Mus musculus: one gene and its partners. The protein of the gene in region 1 interacts with the protein of each later gene in a pairwise test. Links are inferred from orthologs where the notes say so. Each region holds a gene or a part of one and is shown on either strand. Other genes may lie near its edges.

The links.
Region 2: the proteins of Tecr (region 1) and Creb3 interact in a two-hybrid assay, tested with the Homo sapiens proteins (2 studies listed by BioGRID and IntAct). The two-hybrid records come from large-scale screens. The link is inferred for Mus musculus from reciprocal best matches to the Homo sapiens genes TECR and CREB3.
Region 3: the proteins of Tecr (region 1) and Hacd2 interact in binary tests that used the Homo sapiens proteins (3 or more experiments, as listed by UniProt). The link is inferred for Mus musculus from reciprocal best matches to the Homo sapiens genes TECR and HACD2.

The regions. Positions count from the first base shown.
Region 1 is NC_000074.6:83,590,024-83,596,893, forward strand, and holds the start of Tecr (very-long-chain enoyl-CoA reductase), read right to left. Parts: upstream 4,469-6,870; 5' UTR 4,332-4,468; coding exon 4,317-4,331; exon of another isoform or gene 2,347-4,316; intron 1,834-2,346; exon of another isoform or gene 1-1,833. UniProt on the Homo sapiens protein: Involved in both the production of very long-chain fatty acids for sphingolipid synthesis and the degradation of the sphingosine moiety in sphingolipids through the sphingosine 1-phosphate metabolic pathway.
Region 2 is NC_000070.6:43,563,812-43,568,485, reverse strand, and holds the end of Creb3 (cyclic AMP-responsive element-binding protein 3), read right to left. Parts: intron 3,226-4,674; coding exon 3,119-3,225; intron 3,020-3,118; coding exon 2,951-3,019; intron 2,367-2,950; coding exon 2,282-2,366; intron 2,193-2,281; coding exon 2,108-2,192; intron 2,018-2,107; coding exon 1,689-2,017; 3' UTR 1,425-1,688; downstream 1-1,424. Other genes in the region: Gba2 (non-lysosomal glucosylceramidase), read left to right, coding at 1-48, 148-290, 371-486, 570-761, 1,019-1,297. UniProt on the Homo sapiens protein: Endoplasmic reticulum (ER)-bound sequence-specific transcription factor that directly binds DNA and activates transcription. Plays a role in the unfolded protein response (UPR), promoting cell survival versus ER stress-induced apoptotic cell death.
Region 3 is NC_000082.6:35,097,275-35,103,344, reverse strand, and holds part of Hacd2 (very-long-chain (3R)-3-hydroxyacyl-CoA dehydratase 2), read right to left. Parts: intron 3,590-6,070; coding exon 3,468-3,589; intron 1,400-3,467; coding exon 1,221-1,399; intron 1-1,220. UniProt on the Homo sapiens protein: Catalyzes the third of the very long-chain fatty acids (VLCFA) elongation four-step cycle (condensation, reduction, dehydration, and reduction).

The DNA of each region.
Region 1 (6,870 bases):
CTGAGCCCAGGATAAGCTGTTTTCCAACAACCCTGCTGATTTATAACTATCCTAAGTTATATTCCCTGTTCAGGAAGCTTCCCCTCCACTAGGCCTAGGCAGGGAAGGGAGTCTCTTTACTGATAAATAAGCAATGAACTGTGCTGATAGGAAACTTACCAAGAAGCCGCAATCTGCACTCCAGGTGGAATCCACTGTGCCTTGGGTCTTCCCTGTGACCGTAACTGACCGTGAAGTCCTGAACCTTTCTGAGCTTGGCTCTTTTTAGGGCTGTTTACCTGCATGTTTAGGGCTGTTTACCTGCATGCACATCACATGCACTTAGCTTATGCAATGCCCACAGGACAGAAGAGGGTGCTGGGGCCCTAGAACTGCTGTTGCAGATGGGTAGACAGAATGTTGGTGATGTTGGGAACTGAACCTGGGTCTTCTCGACCCATCTCTCCAGCCCCTGAGCACCAAGTCTGGGGGGCGCGGCTTTGGGGGCAGGGTGCTTGATTAGCCTGTGCAAGAAAGACCCTGGGTTCCAGCTCAGCACCACAACATCCAAAAATAATTAACTGTACTTCATTATATCTGTGGTGTCTTCCTATGGGCAAAAAGTCTTTCTCCTTCTTAAAATTCATTGTATTCCAGAAATTGGTTCTCTCCTGCCACCTTGTGGGGTGAAAGGATCAAATTCAGGTAGGCCTCAAAGACGCATCTCTACCTGATGAACTGTCTCACTACCTCCGAGGCTTCTGAGACGGGAGGTTTCCCAGTGGACAGAGGTGCAAGAGGGCAAAGGATCGACTCAGTCCTTCAAAGGTATCTATTACTTTGTTATTTAAATTAAAATTTTAGCCTGTTGTGGTAGCACACGCCTTTAAACCCAGCACTTAGGAAGACAAAGGGAGATCCCTTGGTTCAAGGCCAGATACAGACTAGTCTACAAGGCAAGTTCCAGGCCACTCAGGGTCAGGCAGAGCTACACAGACTACACAGATTCTACCTCAAGAAAAATTACATTTTTATTTATTGTAATTGAACGCACACTGATGCGTGCATGTGGAAGTCAGAGAGGGCAGCCTGTGATGCACACTGATGCATGCATGTGGAAGTCAGAGAGGGCAGCCTGTGATGCACACTGATGCATGCATGTGGAAGTCAGAGAGGGCAGCCTGTGATGCACACTGATGCATGCATGTGGAAGTCAGAGAGGGCAGCCTGTGATGCACACTGATGCATGCATGTGGAAGTCAGAGAGGGCAGCCTGTGATGCACACTGATGCATGCAAGTGGAAGTCAGAGGGCAGCCTGTGGGAGTTCTTTCCTTTCACCACCTGCGTTCCAGGAACTAAAAGGAACTAACCCCAAGTCTTCAGGTTCAATAGCAGACACCTTTACCTGCTGAGCCATCCTACCAGGGTGGCCTGGAATTCACAATGTAGCTAGACAAGGATGACTCTGAACTTGTAATTCTAATGCCTTCACCTCCCAAGTACTGGGATCAATCACAAGCATCAACTACCACGCCTGGTTTTATCCAGGGCTGGGGCTGGAACTCAGGGTCTCCTGCATGCAGGCCTAAGAGCCCAGAGCTCTGCTCTTAATGGGGATTAAGCTGACACTTTTCCCCATCTTAACTATGAAAGCATCTCTCCCATTTTTATTGGTCTGTACCAATAAAATGGTACTGCAAATGGCTCTGCAAACTGGGCTAGAAGATAGCAGATGCTCCTGTCCCAAAACTATGGCCTCAGTGTGTATTAAACAAATGTCAACAGAGAATAAAAATATATATATATATATATATGAAATAACTTTTTTTTCACCAAGGTCACATTGGCTTTTTGGGGTTTTTTCCCATTTATTTTATTTATTTATCTATTTATTTATTCATGTCACATACTCATTACAGCCCCCTTTCTCCTCCCGGCCCCCCTCACATAGCTTCCCCCACCCCCTCCCCTTCTCCTCTGATAAAAGAGAAGCCCCCCTGGTTACCAACCCACTCTGGAACATCAAGTCACTGCAGGACCAAGCGCATTCTCTCCACTGAGGCCAGACAAGGCAGCCCAGTTAGGGACACAGGATCCACAGGCAGGCATCAGTCAGGAACTCTGTCCCTGCTCCAGTTGTCTATGAAGACCAAGCTGCACATCTGCTACGTATGTGTGGAGGGCCCAGGTCCAGCCTTTGTTTGCTCTTTCGTGGGTGGTTCGGTCTCTGGGAGACCCCAAGGGTCCAGGTTACTTGGTTCTGTTGGTCTTCCTGTGGTGTTCTCTCCAGGCCCCTCAAACTTTGTTTTTATTTATTTATTTATTTATTTATTTTTGTCTATTTCATTTGGTTTGCATTTTTGAGACAGGATCTCTAGCCCCAGTTGGCATCAAACTCACTATGTAGTTGAAGATAACCTTGCATCCTTCTGCCTCCATGTCCCAAGACCTGGAACTACAGGCGTGTACCAGCTTGCTTGCCGGGTTTTCCTCAGGGCCAGGGATCCGACCCAGGTTAGGAAAGTGCTCTACCAAATGAGCTCCACCCCTATTCCCCAGTTTGGTTCTTCCCTGCCTTTGTGCTGCTGTGGAACCCAGAGCCTCCGAGCCGCGTGTGTGCACACTTGTGCATACAACTGCTCTGCCGGAGGAACTACCATCAGCCCATCGAGGCACTGGGAGAAATCAGGCTCTGAAATAAACCAGATCAAGTTTTCCAGGCCAAACTGTGAGCCTCAGGCTGTGTTCACACTCCTTGAAACAAAGCACCCGCCCCAAGTCTCAGAAGCCTACCTGGCCTGATTTTCTACTAGCAAATTAAAATGATTGGCTGCAAACTCCATCATCCGCCTGTACTTCTCAAACTGAACATGGCTTTTCCCCCAGAGCAAGAGAGGGGGTGGGAAAGGAAAAACACCCCAGGGAACAAACCTCCTTTTGAAAGCACAGAGTTGATGGGGCGTAAGGATTGCAGACTCCCATCTCTGGTCCTCTGGCATCATGTTAAAAAAAAAAAAAGAAAAAAGACTGGGGATTTCAAGATTCATTTCACAGGCCCTGGGAAAACTACCAACAATAATCATGATACAGAAGATGAATAGCAATATTAGTATTCAACTTGTGATAAAAAAAAATAGGATTATTTCCTATGTATTGGAGGTTCCTGAAGTATGCCAATTTCCAGAGACAAGTGGTGGTTGCCAGGGGCTGGGGGAGGAGGGAATGGGGAGATACTGTACACTGCTGTACAGCTTCAGTTTTACAAGATCAAAGAGAGTTTAGAGTACTTGCCTAGCAGGAGAAAAGCCCTGAGTTCTAAGCCTAGCACTACAAACTGAGGGAGCAGGCAGGGAAGGGGAAAAAAAAAAAAAACAAAAAAAACCCTAACCTAAGGCTAGGCTGAGGTTGACTAAATTCATCACAAATTTAAGATCTGAGGGGAGAAATACACACAACTCTCAGCTTGGCAGCTTTCATTTACCCGGAACCGCACTGCTAGTGGTTAGAAACTATGCCTTTGAAAAGAAATCTGCATTTCCTTTCTGTTCTGCAATTACTAGCAGGGACCTTCCAACAACTCACTGGACATCTCTGACTTTCACCTACATAGTAACAAACTACAAATCCCTCCGCAGAGGACTATGAGTCTGAGGACATAACAAAACCTCAGTAATACGGTAGTTAGCCCTGACTAATGTATTCTTACTATGAATGTGAGCAGTGAGTTACTGTTTTATGATGATTACTTAAAAGTCAGCAACAACGAAATTAGTATCATCAGGTCGAGAAGAGCATTAGAAGATTTGGTTTTAAGAGGAAAGGTGACCCAAGATACAGTCAGAAGACATGAGCTTCCAGAATGGTCTTGCGCATTCAGATTTCTTCCCTGGCGGTCACGGGCTGGCGTGACCCTGGAACCAACTCCCTCGCCGCCCAGGCATCTTGGCGAGGTGGGTGCGAAGGTCGGAAGAGGCAGGCTGGCTGCAGAGCCCCTCCTGAGCCCGAGGCGCTGACAACGTGCAAGGATTGTGCAAGAGAATCGTTCGTACCAAAACCAAGTGCTCCGCACCGCACTCCTCCTGAACACCTGCCACTCAGGCCATCAAGGATGCTGCAAGGAAGCTGCAAGCTTCTCCTAGGCCCTGCAAGACCCTAAGAAAAGGCATCCCCAAACAACCTGGGTGGCAGGTTTATAAATACCCCCCTGCACATGCGCAATGAGACTACACTGCGCCTGCGCCATGGCGGAGAGTCAGACCATAAAAAAAGGTTCCGAGGCCCTGCAGGACACTTGCGGTCTGCGGTAATCATGGCCCAGGGCCCCGCGCTGCTTACCTCGTAGTGCTTCATGGTTCTTCCACAGGATGGCACCTGCTCTGCTGCAACTGAGTGGCCGCCGTACCGCACCAAACACCACCCAGCTCCACACACACTCGGGGAGCAGCACTCCCGGACTCCGGCTCCGCCCCCCTCTATGCGTGCGTCCCTCCTGCCAATCAGCGTGGGGTGCACCCACTGCTCGCGCCACACAACTGACCAATCAGATTTCTCGATCCAAGGAGCGCAGCGGACCCCCTCCCCCCCACTTTGGCAAGCAAGATTAAAACCCGGCCACCCACCAATCAAAAGGAAGCCTGGGCGCCGCGCGCCCTCTGGCTCCGCCCATTGCAGTGTTGCGGTGGAAATCCAGCGACGTCAGGCTGAGGGGTCAATGCGGCAAAACGAGAACAAAGAGCTGCGTGGCCCGGAGAGCCAGGCTTGGGGTGAATTCGTAGATGTAGAGAAGCTCATCTAAGAGATGAGACCTCAGATTATCATCCATCACCAGGACCCTTGAAAGGACTCCAGATATCACGAATGGAGAAAGGAAAAGAAAACCTGCACCGCATTCTACAGGTGCCCCTCCTAAAACAGCTCCTGTCAGTTGAGCTGGCCCTAGAAGCAAAACCACCTTTGTCTCTGCCTGCGTTATCGTGTACAGTTTGGTTACTACTGGCCACATGTAGCTACTGAGCCCTTGAAATATACAGGAAAAAAATGACAGGTGCTGCCAGTCTAAAAATACAGGACATCAGAGAACAGTGCAGAGAAAGACGACATTACAGGGGCTGGTGAGATGGCTCAGTGGGTAAGAGCACCAACTACTCTTCCAAAGGTACTGAGTTCAAATCCCAACAACCACATGGTGGCTCACAACCACCCATAATGAGATCTGATGCCCTCTTCTGGTGCGTTTGAAGACAGCTACAGTGAACTTATTTTAATAAATAAATCTTTGGACCGGAGCAAGTGGGGTTGGCCAGAGCAAGCAGAGGTGTAGAGGTCCTAAATTCAATTCCCAACAATCACATTAAGGTTCACAACCATCTGTACAACTACAGTGTGTACTCATATATATAGAATAAATAAATCTTAAAAAAAAAAAGACATTACAAATGAAGGCATTTGGTATCCTACCTAATGGGCTCAATTCAATCCCAGGGACCCACATAATGTAAGGCCGGAACAGAGACACCATGGCACATGTGCAAGCACACATATACACACACTCTCATAAGTAAATATAAAATGTTAAAAGCCTAGTGCAGCCAGATTCTGCTTGCTGTAGTCTGCAGCCTGAATATATATATGTATATACTGCAGGAATAAATGTTCAGACATGGCATTTAGGGTTAGTTTAATAATATTATATAACAGGCCCAATAAAATTGTAGACTTTCTTGCCAGAAAAAGGGGGGAGGGGCTGTGGATCAGAACAGACGTTTTCAGTAGAAGAAATACAAATGGCTAACATATATCTCAAAGTATTCATCATTCTTTAGAGTTAGAGAAACAGAAATTAAACTTTGAGGCTTCATCTCATCTCTGTCAGAATGGATAAAACCAATAAAACAACCATTAACAAATTCTAGAGGGCGTGTAGGGAAAGGTAACCCCTTGTTCACTGCTGGGAGGATTGCAAACTGGTGTAGCCACTATGGAAATAAGTTTGAGAATTCTCAAAAAGCCAAAAAAATAAACCATATAATCCAGCTATACTGCTCCTTGGCATATGACCAAAGGACTTCTCACTCCACAGATACTTGCTCAGCCATGTTGGCTGCCATACACAGTAGCTAGGAAATACAACGTACGTAAACATTCTCTGATCGACGGCTGGCTAATGGCAGTGTGGTACATATACTCTGTGCAATACTATTTTGCTGTAAAGAAAACTGAAATTGTGAACTGTCAGGGTTCCACCCTGACACTCAGGTACCGATGTGGGGCGCAGAGCAGAGGAGAATGCCCTCTGGTCACTAACCCTCTTTTACTGTTCTGGGGACCAGGACTGGTGGCTTCTGGCAAGTGACTCCTGCTGATAGCAGTAGGAGATTAGGAAAAGAAATGGAATTACTTGGACTCTTTATTCTTTAACTCAGGGGCCTCTCACTGGCCTGTCGAGAAGCTCATTAACTCTTTGTGAGGGCTGGCAAGATGGCTCAGAGTTTAAGAGCATTGGCTGCTCTCCCAAAGGTCCAGAGTTCAGTTCCCAGCAACTACAAAGTGGCTCATTACTATCTATAATGAGATCGGGTGCCCTCTTCTGGCCTGCAGTATATATGCAGGCAGAACACTACGAAATAAATAACTGGCTCCACAGAGAAAGAAAAAACATAAAAAAGGAAGTCAGCCTGACATCTACACATTTATTTTTCTCCCAGCCTTTTTATAGCTTCTTAGACAAAAGTTCTTTATAAAATTACCTCACAGATAAAATGCTAAACAAAAGGGAGTCCCAGAAGATGTCAATAGTAAGTTCAAAGCAGTGTTTCATTCTATAAGCTCACAAGTTCAAAGCAACAGTTTCACATGCCCTTGCTTTTCCATAGTGCACACTTGTGGCCTC
Region 2 (4,674 bases), on another chromosome or scaffold:
AGGCTACGCAGACCAGACCTATGATGCATGGGTCACCACAGGCCCCAGGTTTGGGGGTAGGGATTTCCAGGTCTGAGGTGAAGACCCGGGCATGTGAGGATGCCGTGTAGAGCGGCCGGTCTCACTCCAGCCACTGTTCCCACCCAGTGCTTACTGCGGAGGGCTGTGGCTGGCGGCAGTGGCTGTAATGGTTCAGATGGCTGTTCTGTGTGGGGCCCAAGATGTCCAGGAGAGGTTTGCTTCCATTCTCTGCCGAGGCCGAGAAGCTTATGAGAGACTGCTGTGGAACGGTGAGTAAAAGCAACCTGGGGCAGCTTAAAACCCAACTACGGGATACAAGCAACTTGACTTTGCTCTTTCTCTATTCCAGGACGCTATTACAACTACGACAGCAGCTCCCATCCTCAGTCTCGGAGCATCATGTCTGACCAGTGTGCTGGGCAGTGGTTCCTGAGGGCCTGCGGCCTGGGAGAAGGAGACACTGAAGTGAGAGGCTGGAGAAGCCAGAAGTCTGGGTTTCCCTGGAGGTGGGAGGCAAGTCTGAGACTCCACCTTTGCTCTCCCTCCAGGTATTTCCTACCCTGCATGTGGTCCGTGCTCTCCAAACCATCTTTGAACTCAACGTCCAAGCCTTTGCAGGAGGAGCCATGGGGGCCGTGAACGGGATGCACCCTCATGGTGTCCCTGATAGATCCAGTGTGCAGTCTGATGAAGTCTGGGTGGGTGTGGTCTATGGGCTGGCAGCCACCATGATCCAAGAGGTAATGAATTCTCTTCCCAGCCCTTCACCATTTGTACTGAGGTCCAGAAAACTTCCTCAGCCACTAACTTTATTCCAAGAACACCCTACTGCCTGCCATCTTATCCGTCCACAGAGCGCCCTTCTCCCTAATAAGTGTTCCACCTCTTGCCTTTAAGTTCTTGCCTTTAGGGCGAACGGCCTCCTGTCTTCTCTGCTCAGCTAAGGTAATTGTGCCAAGAGTCAGTTATTATGTGTGACTTCTACGTCTCCCCACAGGGCCTGACTTGGGAAGGTTTCCGGACAGCTGAAGGCTGTTACCGCACTGTATGGGAACGCCTGGGCCTGGCTTTCCAGACCCCAGAGGCATACTGCCAGCAACAAGTGTTCCGCTCCCTGGCCTACATGCGGCCACTGAGCATCTGGGCCATGCAGCTGGCCCTGCAACAGCAGCAGCATAAAAAGAGCCGCAGGCCATCAGTCACACAAGGCACGGGACTAAGCACACAGCCTGAATGTGGACCAAAGAGATCGCTGGCAAACCTCAATTCAGAGTGATCCCTCTGAACTGTGGAGGCCCAGCCTCCACACTGGACCTCCTCCTTCCTCCCACAAGTCCTGCAGCCCTGAGCCAATAGGACAATCGCGCCCCTCTTCCTTCCCAGCTGTGCCAGTAAAAAGGGGCTGAGGAACCACTTATTTATTTCTTACCCTACCCAGTCCTTCCATGGATGAAGTATTCAAGGCCAGTAAATGTCTCCAAATCTATTCACGGGGCAACAGATACATATGGGTATAAATAAAATACTCAGAAAACTAGTTAGTGTGGTGTGTCTGAGTTCCTGGGCATCCTAACAGAGCACGTGAGCAAAGGCCAGCTTTCCCCTGCTCCTTTTTATTTGAATACAGACAGGAGTCCTCAGGCTGAGGACACCCCACATCCTCACACCTAACCTGAATACCTGCCCTGAAAGATGACCAAAGAAGGGCTGTGGTTAGGTTGCCATCCCTCGCTTTCTGAAAGGTTTGCCTGCAGGAGAAGGTTGGAGTCGGAGAAGAGCATCTCTGAAGAAAGATCCCAGAGTGGCCAGTGCAGGGGCTGCTCTGCCTGAGGCGCGTGGTACAGTACACAGGAAAAGTTGCTGGAGACCAAGAACATATGTTCTGAGCTGTCCAGTGACTGGTGTGTGCTGTCCATGGGTAGCTCTGACGATAGAGCAGATGGCTTCGGCTGATGATCGTCCTCGCTGGGGAGGGCACGAAGCTTGCGGTGCAACACTGAAGAGACAAAGACTGGTCAGGAGACCACACAGAAGAAGCCCTCTCTCTACCACAGACCACGCCCGAAGGTGTCCTTAAGCCTCTTACCAACATACTCCGCGGGCACACTTCCCCTTGCATCAGAGGAGTACATAGCGGGTACCAGGAGAAGACAGAAGGAGAACACGAGGACCTAGAACACAGGGAGAAGAAGGGGGTGAAGAGCTCTGGGTCACACACCCCATCTCTGCCAGGGAAAGGATCTCTTGTCACCCTCCTCACCAGAACACAAGTGCTGCCGCTGCTGGTTTTGTTGGCTATCTCAATCACCATGGCTTGAAGCTTCCTCAGTTGATCTAGAAGGGACCTAAGAGACGAGAGGAGACGGTAGTGCGCATGCTCTGGCCGAGCATGCAAGGCACGATGAAGGCCTCCTGTCTTAGCTACCCTCTCCACTCATGCTGTGGATCCAGTCTCAGCTTCCTTGCCTTTCCCCCTCACCCCAAGTGTCTTTGTGCACAAATGCCTGTGATTCCTTAGTGAGACAAAAAAAAAATCAAACTGCTCTGTCCTGACTTAAATACCTTCAAGAAAAACTCTCCAGTAGCTGCAGTACCTGATCAACTAAGCTTGTGCTTCCCCACCAAGCCCTGTGCTCTCTACCCAACCCCAGAGCTAGAGCCAGCCAAGCACAATGCAGCCTTCTCTCCTCCCAGTCCCATCCCCACAGCTGCAACTGCAATGACGCTGACGACCTGCAGTCTTTTCTTACTTCTCTATCTTGGTACTTAATTGCTCCTTAGCTACTTATAAGTTTATTCTCCATCACGCTTGAGACATGGCTAACTTCCGGATGTCTGCATTTTTGAGCTATCCAGTTGGAAGTCATGTGGAACAGTGGAAAGAGTGAGAAAGCATTAAAAAACCGATTGTCTTCAAATGGCCGCTTACAGATTCTGTTCCTCCAAACGCTGCACCTTGTTCTGCAGCTCCCGATTCTGAGCTGTGTATTTCAAGACCCTAGAGGACAACATGGATGTGAGGACACGTGGATTTCAAAATATTGTGTCTCCTCCCTTCAAGACCCTCCAGGCTTCCCCCGTGTCCATCCTTGCTTACCTGCTCTCCAGCCCCACGACATACACCTTCTTCTTCTTGCGGCTTTCTTGAGCTGCTCTCTTGTTACGAATCTTCCTCCGCACTCGTTTCAGAACTTGTTCCTCCACCTAAGAGAAGATGGGGGAAAGGTCACCCACAGTATGTTATTATATGCCTGTATGTTATACCTATATATACTACATAGGTATGTTGGAAGACAGCTAACCTTCTTCCCAATCAAATACTCTCCACAGCCTCTCTGTCAGTAGGCATTTACCTTCTGTGTGAACACCAAGGAGCAGATATTCAACACTAGAAAGCCAGACTTTTTATTATTTTTTATGTGTTTGGGTGTTTTGCCTGCATGTCTGTATAACGTATATGTATAATGGGTGTGCCTAGTGCCCACATAGGCTAGAAGAGGGTGTCAGATCTCCTCGGATTGTAAGCTGCCATGTGGGAGCTGGGACTTGAACTCATGCCCCATGGAAAAGCAGAAAGTACTCTAAACCACGGAATCATCTTTCCAGTCTCTAATTAATTTTAAAAATTCCACTTAAGCTAGGTGTGGTTGTACATGCCTGTAGTATCAGCACTTGGGAGGCAGAAGAAGGAAGTCAGGATTTCAAGACCATCCTTGGCTAGGGTAGTTTTTGAGGACAGACTGAGCTACATAAGACCATGTCTCAAAACTAACAACAACAACATCTACCCTTATCCTAAAGCAACATCAATCTTCTTATAATTTCCATTCATTTGATTTTCCTAGAGTCTCTAAAGTGATATAGAATATATCCTTATCTTAAGGTACTTTCAACTTTTTTTCTTTCAGAAACTAAAACTGAATAAAGTTAACTCTTACATTCTCTGATAATGCCTGTCAAACTTGGACACTAGCCAAGAGTGACATCATACACTTGTAATCTAGTCCGAGGGAGTTAGAAGCAGGAGAATCAGGAATTCAAAGGCATTCTTTCCCTACTACATAGTTTGAGGCCAGCCCAGCCTGGGTTTACAAGACCCTGCCTTAACAACAAGGGCCAGAGGGCGTGGCTCAGCAGTGAGCATTGATGAACATTCATGAGGTACTGTACTCCAATCCCAGTGGGTAGGGGAATTATGGCATGCTCTGGCCAGTGTAAAGGAAGACAAGACAGTTACTATCCTAGGGACAGAACCACTATTGATAATTTCCAAGTTCCGTTTCCTTTCCTCCCAATATATTGCTCATTCATCTTGTAATAGTGATAGAGGGATAGGGGATGGTTTCTCACATAGCCCAAGCTTGCCTGAACTCAACATGAAGCTAAGTCTGTCCGTTAATGCTGATCCACCTGCCCCAAATAAGTAAATATCTACATATCAGAAGTAAGACAATATTAAAAAGGCAAATGACATTAAAAAAATTTGCCACAAAAACTAGATGCAGTATTCTTGTAATCCCAGCACGTGGGAAGTGACTTTGAACTTGTGAAGACCTTCCTGCTCCTGCCTCCAGAGTGCTAGGGTTATAGAGGGGTGCACCATCATGTCCAGCTTTGACGATTGTTGATGTTGTTAGACTGAGTCAGCCTCTC
Region 3 (6,070 bases), on another chromosome or scaffold:
GCCTTCCCTGACCTTTCTAGTCATTCAGAGTGGGACATATCTCCTGCTTATCAGAATAGAAGCAAATACCGAGACGCCCAGGGGGTGCTATTCTCAGAGTAGTAAAGTCACTGCTGTGCCTTGCTGCTCTAGGGGGCAAACCTCAAAGGTGACAATCCATGCCTTTGCATCATGTACATTTGCACTCTTCCAGATTTGCCTTTTGTTTCAACATCCAGCACGCTTTCTGAAGAAAAATGGCTGTTAGTCACCAAGGTCTTGGTGTTAAAGGAAGCTTTTGGTAATGAATAGAGTGGAAACTGAATCATGAAGCAGGACTGTGTCCAAGAATTTCTCCAAGATAAATGTTCAGATGAAATCTGCACAGAATTTTTTTCTTTACAATGCGTAAAATGCAATTTCTACAGAGGGACACAAACATGTCATTTATGATGGTTAGGATGACTCACTCAGATAATGCTGGGGGCTAAAGAAATTTATCCCTGCTTGAACTTAGTGGGGCTTAGGGAAGACTAAGAATTACAGTGGCTACAGTATTGCCAAATGAGCTTGGTTTGTCCTTGGGTCTAAGAAGGTCCTTTTGGAATACAGAAATCAACCAGGAGTTACAACTGAGCAGAATCCGAGAAAAAGACACACTCCTCACTGTCAAACGTGCCCTTTCTGTTCTGGTCCTGTGCGTTCAGAGGTACATTTGATTTTCCGTACATTTAAGCCATCAGAGGTTCTATTAGAATAACTGGAAGCCACACTGCAGGGAACACTGTGTCCAATTCTGAGGGTTTTGTACTCAATGAGAAATGTAGAAAAACAATATATCTGTTTTTATTTTGTTATTTGTTTCTGATCAGCTACTGGTCTCTTAAAGTGAAGTGAAACTGCCTATTTTGATATATTGAGCAATGCGAACATCTTCTTACAATGTTTTTCACAAACCTTAATAAAGCAATTCTGAAGAGACAGGAAAATGAAGCTAAGGTAAGGCCATCTGGTTTTCTGCTCTCTCCTTCCTACTTGGCCTAGCACAGCAGTGACCTGCACACTGCAGCGCTACAGAGAAGGGTTCATCTTTATCCAATTACTGCCAGAGAAAATTCCCTCTGAAAGTCAGTGGTCAATAAAAACCAAAGCATCCCATAAATGTGATTTATATTACACATAGAGCAAAGATGTAACTCTAGTTACCGCAGAGCTGACCTTTATCACATAAATATACTTACGTGGAATGTAGGAGATCATGATCAGAATCAGGAATGCATGGTAATCAAAGGAGAAGTTGTATTTGTTAGGTAAGCTGATGGAGTACAGGCCGGCCTGCCGGACAAAGGGCAGAGCTGCGTATATTGTGAGGAGCTCTCCTGTCACTCCCATTGGGTACAGCACGATGAAAAGTGTGTACCTGAAACAGAACAGAGCCCTCACTGAGCGCTCAGAGCCATATTTACAAGCACCGCCTTCTCAGAAAGCTTGTGTCTGCAGCTCCATTCCCCGTTTTTATTTAGCCTTTATATGCCAGTTTTTGAAAGCGGCCATTGTAGGTTCCCAAATGTTTCCAAATGTTCTAAAGCAAAGTAACTGTCAGTCAGCTTCGAAACCTGGCTCCTTCAGAACATGCAGCTTTAGAACGGTAGAGTAGGGGCATTAAACTCTAACAAGGGCCTTCCTTCCCTGTGGGGACGGAGAGGAAGGAGATGGAGCAGCCATCCAGGAATCCCTAAGGCACGCCAAGCTGCATGCAGACTGAAGGAAACAGTACATTACACAGCTACATTCTGCTACTTCCAAAATGCCCATACAAACTACTGTGAAAATAAAATCTTGACTAATTTTAACATTAGAAAATTCCTAATAGCTTTGAATTTTACAAACAAACCCACACAGATAAATTACTATTTCATGAGGTGTTCACACAATTATTTTCATTTTAAAAAGTTTTTATCTCTTTTAAAAGAATTCAGAGGGAACAGGAGAGAGGGCTCAGTGGTTAAAAGCACTCGTTGCTCTTGCAGAGGACCAGGGTTCAATTCCTAAGCACACATGTGGTTGCTCACAGCCACTAAAAGGTCTTCTGGCCTCTGCAGGCAGCGGGCATGTTCGTGGATACAGATACCTGCAGACCAAACATGTACATACATGAGGCACCATCATCCCTGTGGAAATTGTCTCAGCTCAAATTCAAGAAACTGTAGCCATTTACGGCTCAAAATTAACCTGGATTAAGCTTCCAGGCACAAGAATCTGCCCAGAAACAAGTCATTTTCCCTGTTGCCAACCTAGATCATTAGGCAGGGCAGTGGAGAAGAACTGTCCATAGACCACAGAGAAAAATAAGCCAAAGAATTCTCTGAGAACAAAGCCAAATCTAGGCCAACAAGTGCAACAAGTGTCCCCACAGACGGACAGCCTTCATGATGGCCGTGCAGGCTGGTTGGAAGCTGTTACTTTTCCCTTCTTTTCCTCCTAAATATAGTCTATTAAAAAAAAAACAAAAGGCTCATATCCTTGAAATGCTAGACACTGGATTCCATTCCTAATTCAATCGCTAAACTCAAACTGTGTAGTAACAACTGTTTTCTTTTTAGGAAATGAGGTGTCTTAGCTCCAAAGTCAGCCTGGACCTTTCTGCTCTGTCATCCTCACCCCACAGTTCCTCATGCACAAAATCACAACTGGATAAACAGATGTGCCATCAGCCTTTTGTCTAAGTCACAATTAAATTTCATTATTGTTGTTGAGACCAGAGTCTCATTCTGGGGCCAGAAATTGTGGCAATTTTCCTGCCTCAGCCTTCCAAGTTCTGGGATTATAAAAGGGTGAATCACCATGCCTGAATTCATTCATTCTTTGTTTTTTTCCTTTAATGTAAGTAAGTACACCGTAGCTATCTTCAGACACAGCCGAAGAGGGCATTGAGTCCCATTACAGATGGTTGTGAGCCACCATGTAGGTGCTGGGAATTGAACTCAGGTCCTCTGGAAGAACAGTCAGTGCTCTTAACTGCTGAGCCATCTCTCCAGCCTCACATGCCTGATTCTTAATGAATATTACTGGTAAAAATAATCAAAGCAAAATAAAATTTATAAGCTGAGAAAACCATGTAATGTTTGCTATTAAGTAAAATAACCTCACATGTCATAGTTTCTTGACAAAACAAGACTAGGAGATGTAGACACGGACCACAAGGGGACAAGTTCATCAGCTAAACTGAGTAAGGACAAAAACAGATAATATAATAAGTCTCTGTTGAGTAACTTAACTGAAAAGAACAGAGTTCAAGAAAAATAATCTAAGTAAAATATGAAGACTTTAGAACAGTGTTTCTACAGATAAAAGTCAAGACCTTTCTGGTGAAATCCCCATCTCATCCAATTTCAGTTTTGGGAAGTTGGAGGCAATAGTCAGGCAATAAAAGGCAGATATGGTGTGGGTTCTTACAAAGTTAGTACTTGCTGTATGCACTTCTTTACCTGGCCCATTTGATGATATAAGGCAGATGGTTTAATAGACTGAATGTGTAAAAGGAGTAACGGATAATTTCCGTGATTGTCCAGGCAATGACAAACAGAAGTACACTGTCTTCACTCTGCACCTGGAGGAGAAGAAAAAAGATGTAAGAACAAACAAAGGAACATGCACAAGAGGCATTTTATAATGTGCACTGCCTGCAGGGCTGCCCGGCCACAGCCACCCATCCTTGTCCTCAAATGGCTGCAGCACAGCTTAGAAAGGGCTTGCTGATCAAAGACAAGGCACCTCCAACAGTTCTATGGAGGCACGTGACAGGAGACTCCGTTTGTGGATCAGTGGGAGCAGCAAGGAAGGGAACTGGATGAGCAGGATACCTCAGCAAGAGAGAAACACACCAAGTTTCTTTGCTGCTCTGATAAGGGAAAAGTGAGGTGGAGGAGTCAGAAGTAGGTAGGGAGAGGAGGCTAGGAGGACAAGCGGGTGGGAGGCTTGGGATCATCACCAAGAATCTGTGTGCAATTAGTGTGACAGCGGGGAATCTGAGGACACTTCCAGAACACAAATGTGAGGATTCAAGCATGGTGGGTAGGGTGAGCTCAGGAAAGAAGAGGCACAGGCCATATACCAAGCAGGTACCCTCTTGAGGAGACAAGAGGCCTGCTCGCTCACACAAGGCAGCTAGACCAGAACGACTTTGACACTGACTGCCTTACGCTAGAGAAATGGTAACCTTGGTCAAGTTCCCTTATGTGTTTGATAGGTGCTGTTCCAGGGGAATTTATGGCTGTAATACAGACTCCAGCACCCCTCCACCCCACTATGAGTTTATAAAGATCCTTTGTGAGCAAAACCCAACAGACAAGCTTGCACTGCGATTCACCTGTTTCCCCTGTCCTACATGGTTGGTGAGTTGGCTGTGAGTTAAAGTCCTACTCAGTAAACCGAGCAGACTACTATGTGCTGATTTCTCTGTCTCATCCCAACCTGTAGTGACAAGGGTGTAGCAACCCTGCCTTCACTTTTGCTTCTCTCCATCTGCAGAGCCAACAGTTTTTAGCACTTGCATTCTTTCTCAGAAAGTGTACATGGAGTGATCCACCTACACAGTGAAATAAGTAGTCATTTACATAGCTATTAACTAAATTGCCCTGACAAAGAACTTCATAAATGCATGGTTACTATTCTCTAAAAATAATAAGAATTTCATCCTGTCAAGAGCAGGAGTACTTTCTGCTTTAAGGCCAGAGCTAAGTACCATTAAAGCTCACACTGAGGGCTCCAGTCTGCCCATGAAGCTTTGCTTAAAGCCTATCGGATACCAAAATCTACGTTTATCGGATATGTTGCTTTTCATGGACTTTGTAACCCTCATTATCTGACAGTGATGTATGTTTTTTATAGATTTATTTTATCAGTATTATTTTTTACAGCTGTGGCTAAAACCTCTTAAAGGCTTCCTATAGGCAGCTCCTCCAGTGTTCTGTACTCTAGCTCACCTTGGAAACTGAGTGTGTAAACTCATCTTTTGTTTCCCCAAAGCACCTGATGCTTTCCACAGGACAAAGTTTTGCAACTATCTGTGAAGCAAAGGGATCCAACTGACTGGGCTCACTCTAAAGACCCAGTTCCGTTCTCTTTATACCTAATATTGGTTTGTATCATCTTAGTGGCCTACACATAGACAGGTAGTCAACAAGCAGGTAAACTTCAAAGTTCTCGCTTCTGACCCAGCCAAGCAGGCATCTGAAGGAACGGACAGTTTTTACACTTTACTCTTTATTTACACTTAACTCTTTCAAAGGTCAGGATTAGGAAAATGGCCATGTTGGACAATTATTAACTGTAGATCAATAATACATCCTTGTGATCAACATGGGATTTGGAGAGGTAGAAAGACAGCTTAGATGTTAAGAGCATTTCTAGAGAACCTAGGCTCAATTCCAAGCACCTACATTGTGGCTCACAATCATCCTTAACTCCAGTTTCAGAGGATCTGATGCCATTTTTTGTCCTCTGTTGTCACCAGTGACACACATGGTACACAAACATACATGCAGGTAAAACACCCATATACATAAAATTAAAATTAAAACAAGAAGAGATTTGGATAGTCAGAGGTAAATTTTTCTGATTTGTAGAAATTATTCAATAACAAAGAACAAAGGTAAAATATAATGGGTTAAAATCAACAAGGGGACCAACAAGACCTGAATTGGTGTCTGTAAGTCATGTCACAACAGTATTAGTCATGACAGTCAAAAGGTGGACAAAAGCCAAGGATCCACAACTGCATGCATGTATGCGCACACACATAATATGAAATATTATTAAGCCTTAAGAAAACTCTTACGCATGTTAGAACATGGATGAATGAACTTTGAAGATTATCATCAGTTAAATTTGCCATTTGCAAAGGACAAATGCTGTTTGACTCCACTCACATGCAGCATGTGAGTGGTCGCTACATAGATGAGAAAAATAAAGACAGAAGGTTGCTAGGAGCTGGGCAGGAGGGGGAGGGGGTGGGGGGGAGGGGAACTGCTGCTTAACTGGTAGAGTCTCAGTTTGGCAAGTTGAAGAAAATGATGCGGATGGAAGGCAA